Arabidopsis thaliana: one gene and its partner. The protein of the gene in region 1 interacts with the protein of each later gene in a pairwise test. Each region holds a gene or a part of one and is shown on either strand. Other genes may lie near its edges. The genes, in order: EMB3101 and CJD1.

What was found.
Region 2: the proteins of EMB3101 (region 1) and CJD1 interact in a two-hybrid assay, tested with the Arabidopsis thaliana proteins (one study listed by BioGRID).

The regions. Positions count from the first base shown.
Region 1 is NC_003070.9:1,670,049-1,674,600, forward strand, and holds EMB3101 (Tetratricopeptide repeat (TPR)-like superfamily protein), read left to right. Parts: upstream 1-1,867; 5' UTR 1,868-1,930; intron 1,931-2,050; exon of another isoform or gene 2,051-2,067; 5' UTR 2,068-2,112; coding exon 2,113-3,627; 3' UTR 3,628-3,799; downstream 3,800-4,552. Other genes in the region: HEXO2 (beta-hexosaminidase 2), read left to right, coding at 1-612, 686-1,638; APS2 (ADP-glucose pyrophosphorylase small subunit 2), read right to left, coding at 3,847-3,963, 4,056-4,181, 4,276-4,374, 4,469-4,552.
Region 2 is NC_003070.9:2,747,556-2,753,146, reverse strand, and holds CJD1 (Chloroplast J-like domain 1), read left to right. Parts: upstream 1-1,526; 5' UTR 1,527-1,937; coding exon 1,938-2,068; intron 2,069-2,368; coding exon 2,369-2,468; intron 2,469-2,553; coding exon 2,554-2,658; intron 2,659-2,754; coding exon 2,755-2,832; intron 2,833-2,921; coding exon 2,922-2,977; intron 2,978-3,070; coding exon 3,071-3,128; intron 3,129-3,345; coding exon 3,346-3,471; intron 3,472-3,569; coding exon 3,570-3,665; intron 3,666-3,884; coding exon 3,885-3,956; intron 3,957-4,370; coding exon 4,371-4,433; 3' UTR 4,434-4,786; downstream 4,787-5,591. Other genes in the region: PPCK1 (phosphoenolpyruvate carboxylase kinase 1), read right to left, coding at 137-941; AT1G08645 (uncharacterized protein), read left to right, coding at 552-896, 1,140-1,205, 1,317-1,334. UniProt on the Arabidopsis thaliana protein: Probably involved in the regulation of the fatty acid metabolic process in chloroplasts, especially chloroplastic galactolipids monogalactosyldiacylglycerol (MGDG) and digalactosyldiacylglycerol (DGDG).

The DNA of each region.
Region 1 (4,552 bases):
AACACCAATACCTTTCGGCCTCTGTAACACGGTATCACAACCTGATCCGTTCTGAGAATTACTCGCCTCTCATTAGCTATCCTGTCAAACTTATGAAAAGATACACCTTGAGGAACCTTGTAGTCACTGTTACCGATTTTTCTCTTCCGCTTCACCACGGTGTTGATGAGTCTTACAAACTCTCCATCCCCATTGGCAGCTTCTCCGCGCACTTGTTAGCTCATTCGGCTTGGGGAGCTATGCGTGGCCTTGAGACATTCTCTCAGATGATTTGGGGAACATCTCCTGATTTGTGCTTACCCGTTGGAATTTATATTCAGGATTCTCCTCTGTTTGGCCATAGAGGTGTTTTGCTCGATACATCGAGGAATTACTATGGAGTAGATGATATAATGAGGACTATTAAGGCCATGAGTGCAAACAAACTCAATGTGTTCCATTGGCATATCACTGATTCACAATCTTTTCCACTGGTGCTTCCTTCTGAACCTTCACTTGCTGCAAAAGGATCTCTTGGACCAGACATGGTATACACTCCCGAGGATGTCTCAAAGATTGTTCAGTATGGTTTTGAGCATGGTGTTAGAGTACTTCCTGAAATAGACACTCCTGGTAAGTCCATTCTTGATTTTCTCTTGCACAAGAACTTAGCTTGGTTCTAATAGATACTGTTAAAACTCCACAGGTCATACAGGATCATGGGGAGAAGCTTACCCGGAAATTGTGACATGTGCCAATATGTTCTGGTGGCCTGCTGGAAAAAGTTGGGAAGAGCGGTTAGCTAGTGAACCTGGGACTGGTCAGCTTAACCCTTTGAGTCCTAAAACATATGAAGTTGTTAAAAACGTCATACAAGATATCGTTAATCAATTTCCAGAATCTTTCTTTCATGGAGGTGGAGATGAAGTTATCCCAGGCTGTTGGAAAACCGATCCTGCCATCAATTCTTTCTTGTCCTCTGGTGGAACACTAAGCCAGCTTCTTGAAAAGTACATAAACTCGACATTACCTTACATCGTGTCACAGAACCGCACAGTTGTTTACTGGGAAGATGTTCTGTTGGATGCACAAATCAAGGCGGATCCATCTGTTCTTCCTAAAGAGCACACAATCTTACAGACTTGGAATAACGGTCCGGAGAACACAAAGAGAATCGTAGCTGCTGGTTACAGAGTAATTGTCTCTTCATCAGAGTTCTACTACTTAGACTGTGGTCACGGCGGGTTTCTAGGGAATGATAGTATATATGATCAGAAAGAAAGCGGTGGCGGGTCTTGGTGTGCACCATTTAAGACGTGGCAGAGCATATACAACTATGATATAGCTGATGGTTTGCTCAATGAGGAAGAGAGGAAGCTGGTGCTAGGAGGAGAGGTTGCATTGTGGTCAGAGCAAGCTGACTCGACGGTTTTAGACTCACGTCTTTGGCCACGTGCCTCTGCGTTGGCGGAGAGCTTGTGGTCAGGGAATAGAGACGAGAGAGGTGTTAAGAGATGTGGTGAAGCCGTGGACCGTTTAAACCTGTGGAGGTATAGGATGGTTAAGAGAGGGATTGGAGCTGAACCTATCCAACCATTGTGGTGTTTGAAGAATCCTGGAATGTGTAATACAGTCCATGGTGCTCTTCAAGATCAATAAAAACAGATAGTTTCGAAATTGGATCCGAGTCAAAGAAAGCATAAACATGCTCTTGATCAGGCTCTTTTGATTGTTGTATACATACTTTGCTTTGTAGTTGTGGGTTGTAATTCTCAAATCCTGAAGTATGCGGGGTATTTTGTATGAATAGTTGAAAGTTATGGGGCAAAAATGGAAAGTTTCTTTATTTACCGTACTACGAAACAATTATCACAACCTCTTCCAAAGTCTCTGCCTTTACGAGACTGAACTTGAAGAAGAGACCCCTAAAATCCGATACTGAAATCTCCAGGTTATTGAAAAATCACAACTTTGAAAAGTTAGATGGCGAAATTTGTTTAATTTGAAATGATTTTGGTTTCTAGGGTTTAGACTGTTGACTCGTGTTCTTATCATCTTTAAGCTGACGAGGCGAGATTGATTGTGCAGGAAATCTGATTCCTTGATGTGACCTGAAGAGATTTCTGAGTTATCATGAGTGTTGTTAGATGGCCAAGAGTTCTAACGCCAAGTCTTCTTTCTCAAATCCTAAAGAAGCAGAAGAATCCAGTGACAGCACTTAAGCTTTTTGAGGAAGCGAAAGAGAGGTTTCCGAGTTACGGTCACAATGGCTCGGTGTATGCTACCATGATTGACATTCTCGGTAAATCTAACCGTGTGTTGGAAATGAAATATGTCATTGAGAGAATGAAGGAAGATTCTTGTGAATGTAAAGATTCGGTTTTTGCATCGGTTATTCGTACATTCTCCAGAGCTGGAAGGCTGGAAGATGCTATTTCTCTCTTCAAGAGCCTTCATGAGTTCAATTGTGTGAATTGGAGTCTATCTTTCGATACTCTTTTACAGGAGATGGTTAAAGAATCCGAGCTCGAAGCTGCTTGTCATATCTTCAGAAAGTATTGTTATGGTTGGGAGGTGAATTCTCGAATAACGGCTCTGAATTTGCTTATGAAGGTTCTTTGCCAGGTCAATCGCTCTGACCTTGCGTCTCAGGTTTTTCAAGAGATGAATTACCAGGGTTGTTATCCGGACAGAGACAGTTACAGGATTTTGATGAAGGGGTTTTGTCTAGAGGGGAAACTTGAGGAAGCCACTCACCTGTTGTATTCAATGTTCTGGAGGATCTCACAGAAAGGTTCAGGTGAGGACATTGTGGTTTATAGAATTCTATTGGATGCATTATGTGATGCTGGTGAGGTTGATGATGCTATTGAAATTCTTGGTAAAATCTTGAGAAAAGGATTAAAGGCTCCGAAACGATGTTACCATCATATTGAAGCTGGTCACTGGGAGAGTAGCAGTGAGGGTATAGAGCGGGTGAAACGATTGTTAACCGAGACTTTGATCCGAGGTGCAATTCCCTGTTTGGATAGCTATAGTGCCATGGCTACTGATCTTTTTGAGGAAGGTAAGCTTGTTGAAGGTGAAGAGGTGCTCCTTGCAATGCGAAGCAAAGGCTTTGAGCCTACACCATTTATTTATGGTGCCAAGGTTAAAGCACTCTGTAGAGCCGGGAAGCTTAAAGAAGCAGTTTCTGTAATCAATAAGGAGATGATGCAAGGTCATTGCCTTCCAACAGTTGGAGTGTATAACGTTCTTATAAAAGGTCTATGCGATGATGGAAAATCCATGGAGGCTGTTGGATATCTCAAAAAGATGTCTAAGCAAGTTTCTTGTGTAGCGAACGAAGAAACATATCAAACTCTAGTGGATGGTCTGTGTCGAGATGGTCAATTTCTTGAGGCGAGTCAGGTCATGGAGGAGATGTTGATAAAATCACACTTTCCTGGTGTCGAAACTTACCATATGATGATAAAAGGTCTTTGTGATATGGACCGGCGATATGAAGCTGTGATGTGGTTGGAAGAGATGGTTAGTCAGGATATGGTACCGGAATCTTCTGTGTGGAAAGCTTTGGCTGAGTCTGTCTGCTTTTGTGCCATTGATGTTGTTGAGATACTTGAGCATCTAATTAGTAGCAAACGTTAATCATATAACTAACTACCTGCTTGATCTGTGAAACTTTACAAAGTTTGATGATGCTATGTGAGTGAGAGCAACATTCTATTGTAAAAGTTTTTGTGAAATGTAATTGTTTCAATTAGTAACAGGTTTGTTGACCATATTAATTTCATTCCTTGGTGACATGTAATAGAAATGTTTTATTTTACATTGAAAAATGATGGATTTTGTAAAATAGGAAAAAAATCAGAGGATGGAGTCGTTCGGGATCACTGCGTTTCGAAGTATGATAATGATTCCTTCTCTTATTACGTATCCTTGAGCTTCTCGGTTTCCTTCTTCAACATTGTCTCTGTTGATTATCTGTGAATTGTATTTATCAAGAGAAAAAAATATTTATATATATATATAACCTATAGAAATTGAATTTTGTAAGTTGAAATCCATGTAGTTACCATAACGTTTTTACCAATCCTGGCATTTTTATCAACAATGGCTCGTCTTATTCGACTCTTTTCACCGATCCCTATTCGAATCTCTATCTTCTTCTCCTTCCCTTTTCTTCTCACATCTTCTTCCATCTTTAAAACACATTTCGTGACCAAAAAATATTGTTTTAAAACTTTATAATATGGTATTAATTAGTCTAATTTCGATCCAAGAAACCTGGTTTACCTCATAAATATCAGAACCGACAATGATCGAATCCTCTACAATCACTTCATCAGCGATTCTTGTTCTCATTCCAACCACCGATCCTCTGATGACACATTTCTGCACATACAAGAAGATGACGAAATTCTTCAAGCTTTTGATTAACAACGGCTGCTAGGGTTTCAAGGATTTGAAAGAGAGTTTTGCAAATTACATCTAGAATGCACCCGTCTCCGATAATACTGTTGGTTATTACAGCTACACTCATGGAGCTTGGAGGCAAACACCGAGGCATTGT
Region 2 (5,591 bases), 1.1 Mb from region 1:
TTCACTTTATCATTAAACCAACCTACTAAAAAATGGATTAGTGTGGATAAGATAACATTATCTGTTAAAAATAGATGAAATTTATTGACATTAAAAATTCAACAGAGAAACAGATCTGATGGTTTTAGAATCTTACTTAATGCTTGTTCGGCTGAGAATCTTCTAGAAGCATCTTTGCATATCAATTTCCTTAGGAAATCTTTAGCCATAGATGAAACCCCCCGGAATATCTTCGTCGGAAAACGGAGATTTCCTCTGAGTACCGCTTCGAATATCTCTTCAGCTGTCTCGCCGTAAAACGGTGGAGTTCCAGCGAGCATCGTGTACAAAACGACGCCGGCGCTCCATAGATCGACCTTCTCTCCGTAAGAATATCCCATTAAAACCTCCGGCGCCACGTAATACGGCGTTCCGACGACTCCTTCGGTGGTCTCTCCCTCACCTAACCAAATCCCTGAACCGAAATCGCAGATCTTAACCGTATCGTTTCGTAGATCTACCAGAATGTTCTCCGGTTTAATATCCCTGTGAACGACGCCGTATCGGTGACAATGCGAAAGCGCCTGGAGAATCTGTTTAGCGAACGACGCCGTCTGAGGCTCAAAGAAGGTTCCAGAAGAGACGAGACGGTCGTAGATCGAAACAGAGGGATGGACGAGCTCCATGAAGATGGAGAGAGTCGAATCAGTGTCGATGAGATCATGGATTTGAACGATGTTAGGGTGATAGGACAAGAGAGCCATGAGCTTAGGCTCGTTGTCGAGACAGGCACGGTCAAGGTCGTCGGAGAGAGAGGCTTTGTCGATGGTTTTGCAAGCGAAGAAATCACCGGTGGCCGGAGCGTAGACGCGAGAGACGGTGCCGAAACGGCCACGGCCGATCTCCTCGCAGATCTGGTATTTGTTGGTGTTGTTGTTTCCGAGTGTTTGGCTGCAAGTCATAATATCACTTTCTTAATATTTTTTGTTTTGTGTTGGTTCTTGTGTGAGTTAAGAAGACCTCTTGAGTCGGCTCTACCTTTTTTTATAGCCAAAACTCTTGAGAATATTCCTTTTGATGCCTACATGTTTTTTTTTTCTACTAGTATTTTCCTTTTCCTTAACGTTATATCTTTTTTGTTTTTATTTTGTTTTAAATAGGATTTTAGATATTATTTCCCAATCCAAATCTATTTTTTTGTTTTGTTAGAAGTTTACTTGGAGAAGGTTTGTACTTTGTAATGTCTTTTCTTATCTTATTATATACAATTTTACTTTCTAACAGTTCTTTATTATCTATTTGGTTTGTTCTTTGAAATGATAATTACTTGGTGGTAGTCTAAAATTCACATTTAAGTTTATTATCAAATGTACTACACAATTACAATCCTCTCTAAATTACAGAAAAACATTCTCAACAGATCCAGATTTGTTAAGATAAAATATTGGATCTACAATTTAATATGTTTCCAGAAAAAGTTCATAAATTGATAATGCACAATCTAGTGAAAAAGAGGTAGGAAATCCAACCCCAATTTATGCAAAAACATTTCCAAATTGAATGTGAGTACTAAACGATTTCTTGGACGAGATTGAAATCTGAAAAAGAGATAAGAAAAGTGTGGCATGTTTGGATTGGAATTGGGAGATAATCCCTGCAAGTAAGTAAACCAGAGATCCCACGAAAACAAACTAATAAAGACACTGGATTGGGCCGATAAATCAGTTGGGCTGAAGAAAGCAGGCCGTCTTTATTATTACCTAATTCGTTCACGATGGAGGTCGAACCGAGAATATCCCCCTCCGGAGGCGAGCGCCTTATCCATTGGGCCACGCGAACTATTGGTCAGGCCTCAGTTTTTAGCCTTAACAAACTATTGAGTATTGAATGATTAGCTTCCAAACATCAATCACCAACCTTCTAGTTTCCTTTTAACCCTACTAGAGCTCTGCTCTGCCATGGCTCCCGCACTATCTACTTCTTGCTCCTCCGTCATGGCTTTCTCAACATCAAACGCGCTTCGTTACCATCATCCTCAAATTTCTCTCAGGAACTCTCTTCGCGCTCCCAAATCGCCTTCTTTTGTCAGGTACTTTCTCTTGATGCTGCTTTTTTGTTTTCCACTTCTCTTCGGTGGCTTTAAAGTCGAAGAATCATCGTTTGATAGTTCTTTTTGTTGTGTAAACTTACGGATTTTGTGGGTAACCGTTATCTTCTTCCTTCATAAACATTGTCAATTGAATTCCGACGGCTTAATTCGTGGATGAGCTTCTTACTGTTGCCTATAAAGTTTACAACTTTCAATTGCACTTAAGAGAGTTCCATTGTTGTGCTTATCAGACCATTTGGTACACGTTATCATTGTAATGAGGATGATTGAAATTCTCAGGCTTCCCCTCGGAAAGGTGTTACAGAGCAGGATTGTGATACGTGCTGCTTCGTCTGCGGCTGGTAATCCACAGTCTGATGCTGACTTTAATCCGTATGAGGTAATTGATCGTTAGAGCCCTATAAAGGACTTGTTTTGTTGGTCGTTGTGTATTTCTCATGACATGAGTGTGTGTACCTTCTCAGGTTCTTGGTGTTAACCCTATAGAGGGATTTGACAAGATCAAGCAAACTTATGGAAGGAAACTTAAAGATGCTCAGAGGAGCGGTGATGAAGCCACTGCTGCTCTAGTAAGTTACGTTACCTCTCTCTTTCTTTGGAGTCCTGTAAGTGATTTTTTTTTTTTTTTTTTCTTGTTAACACGTCTCTGTTTTACCTTTTGATAGCTTGAGAAGGCATATGATAAGCTCATGTATGCCCAGTTGATGAATAGGAAAAAGGGTGTGACTTTTGGTTCGTTTAAGGTGTGTATCGTATCCTCTTTCTTGTCATATGCTGTCTTGAACTCTATGACCTTTCTTTCTCAATCCTTGGTGAATTTTTCATAATTCAGGTTTCCAAGGACATTAAATATGCTGATAAGCAGCCCATTATACCATGGGGTCCAAGGTAGAGATTCTTTATGAGTCTACTCGCATTATTAATTTTCATCATTCAAAAGCAGGATCTGTTACTACTCATGATTTACCCTTGTTGTTACAGGTTTTCCAGGTCCTCCAAGAATGATATGTTGATCAACCTAGCAATATCAGTTGTGTTTGTAAGTAGTTTTTAAGAAATATGAGGTTTGCTATTATTAGAAATGTCAGTTTTTTTTTTTTTTTTATCTGTACCCTTTATGAATCAAGACATCATGCATAAATGACTGAATTCTTGCAGAAAAAGTGACTTGTTTCTTACACATTTATGCATATATGACATTTCAAGTACAATCAGATATGAGCCTCTCCCACTCTTTCTGTTTCTTTCTTTTGCAGAGTGCATGGATTGCGATAAAACGTAATGTTGAATACAAACCGCTGCAGTTCATGTCTTTTGTATTTGTTTACAGAATTTTTGAGAAATTAAAATCCTTTGAAGCACCTTCATCTCCAATATATAACGTGAGTTTTGAATTTTTTTGAAGCCTTATGTTTTGATGTCCGTACACTTAGTGGCTCTTTTAATCCTGATGTGCACTGATGTTTGACACTGGCTGCAGGAGGAAGGCGAAGAAAGTGGACGGGGATTGAGAATGGGAAAGAGGCTTCTTCGTTCTCTTTCCTTAGTTTTTGGCTCTATACTCTTAGCATCTTTGGTATGCATATCCATCAAGACTCCGTTATTTTAAAGAATCCGTTTTATGTTGCACCATCTAGTATTAGGTTTATTCAAAGAGAGCGGCATATGTGATATAAATGTGTCCAAGCGTTATTTTATGGATGCTCCTGATTGTTTGATCTAGTTATTAGATATGTCAGGAGTTCTTTTAATTGTGTATACCTATGTTTAACTCTCAGTGAACAATGTTTTGCAGGCATACACTGGGTTCTTAAATGGCATCGAGTACATGGGCTACTCCATACCCATGGTTCTTTACAACAACCAGGTTGTTTTTTTTGCATAACTTACATCTCTCTTCGCTTGAAACCTTCTCTTAACTAGTCCCACACAAAATGATCATTTTGATCAAAAAATGGTTTAGGATATTTAGGTCAATTGTTGGCTAAGCCTCAATGAACAGCACTAGTTGATTAGGTTGTAGATGATTGTGCTGTTTGTTTTGATTTGTGACATCTATAGGTATAAGAAGTACTTGTACTGAAATAAAAACTAAATGCACAAGTATTAGGTATGAATTGGGAACACATGAGTTGGATATGTGTTGCCACAATTGCTGAATTAAGATATAGCAAAGAGAAGGGTCTGGTCTGTAAATTAAATAGTTCCATAAGTGATATCAGTCAACCAGGCTTTTGATGATGTAACAAGAACTGACTGAACAGTGCTAATTCGGTTGCAGGAACTTATAGTGACGGCGTCATCGGCTTTCATGCTCTATGTTATAGCGTCGTTTTACAGATAATGCGAGAGTCCACAGGAGAATTGGTCAGTTAGAAGCTTTTGGAGAAGTTATGCTGTATTATAGGATGTTGCTGGGAGATGAAAAGTTTATTTTCTACAGAGAGATGGGGTTATCTTTATAACCTTTCTTTTGTGTGGAAAATCAAGTAAATTTTGCAAGAGAGAAATCCCTTAGAATCTAAGTCTTGTCTATTTACGTTTAATGCTGAGGATCGCATGTGGAAGGTTTTTTAATTTTTGTATTGGAGCAATAATATGCGTGAAGTGAAAAATCTTGAGATACCTTGAAAGTATCAGTCGTACACACAATTGAAGCGTTACGAAGATGAGAAACGTTATCAACCTTGTTAAAACACAACTGTGGAGAGTTTAGAATTGATGATAGATGAAAAGTTATAGGGATCAAAATAGAGAGCTAATATCTTTGGTGTGGTGGCGAGAAAAATCATCTGAAAAGATGTTTCATAGATTTGAGGTACGAATCTGATTGGTTGGGTTAGATAAAGGTCAGGTCAGGTGGCTAAGACTGAATTCGACTGTCATCAAAAAGGAGTGTCCACTACGGTCAGCAAAAGAAAAAGGACTATGTAGGTGAAGTGAATCCGATGGGAAATAAAACAAATGTGATAGAGAGAGAACAGAGACGCCAATTATGAGTAGAGCTGACACGTTGGAGCTGACTCTGTCTCTATCTCTATATCTCTGTCTTTCTCTATTTATAGATGGAGTACGTACAGCTGCTCCACACTATATATACAGTACATACTTTGAAAAGTATATTTGAGTTACGTCTTCAACTTCAAAGCGTTTCTTACTACTAAAGTGGTACGTTTCCCTAATTCGCTCTCATTTTCCATCTTCTTCTTCTCCTTCTTTTGAAAACACACACACAAGTTCGATTTATTTTCTTAGAATCAATGTGGTAACCATATTTCTAGATGACATATCTTGCCTAATGCTTCAATTAATTGGAGACATGATGAATTTTAACTGTAAAAAAAAAACAAATGAAACATTGAACAATTGATATAGGAATGAATAATTTTTTTTTGAAAAACAAAAGAAATAAGGGAAAAAGCTCTATTTGGTAGTATATAATAACCTAAGATTATATTCATTATTGTATTTGCCTAAAATTAGATTTAGTAGTATATTAATA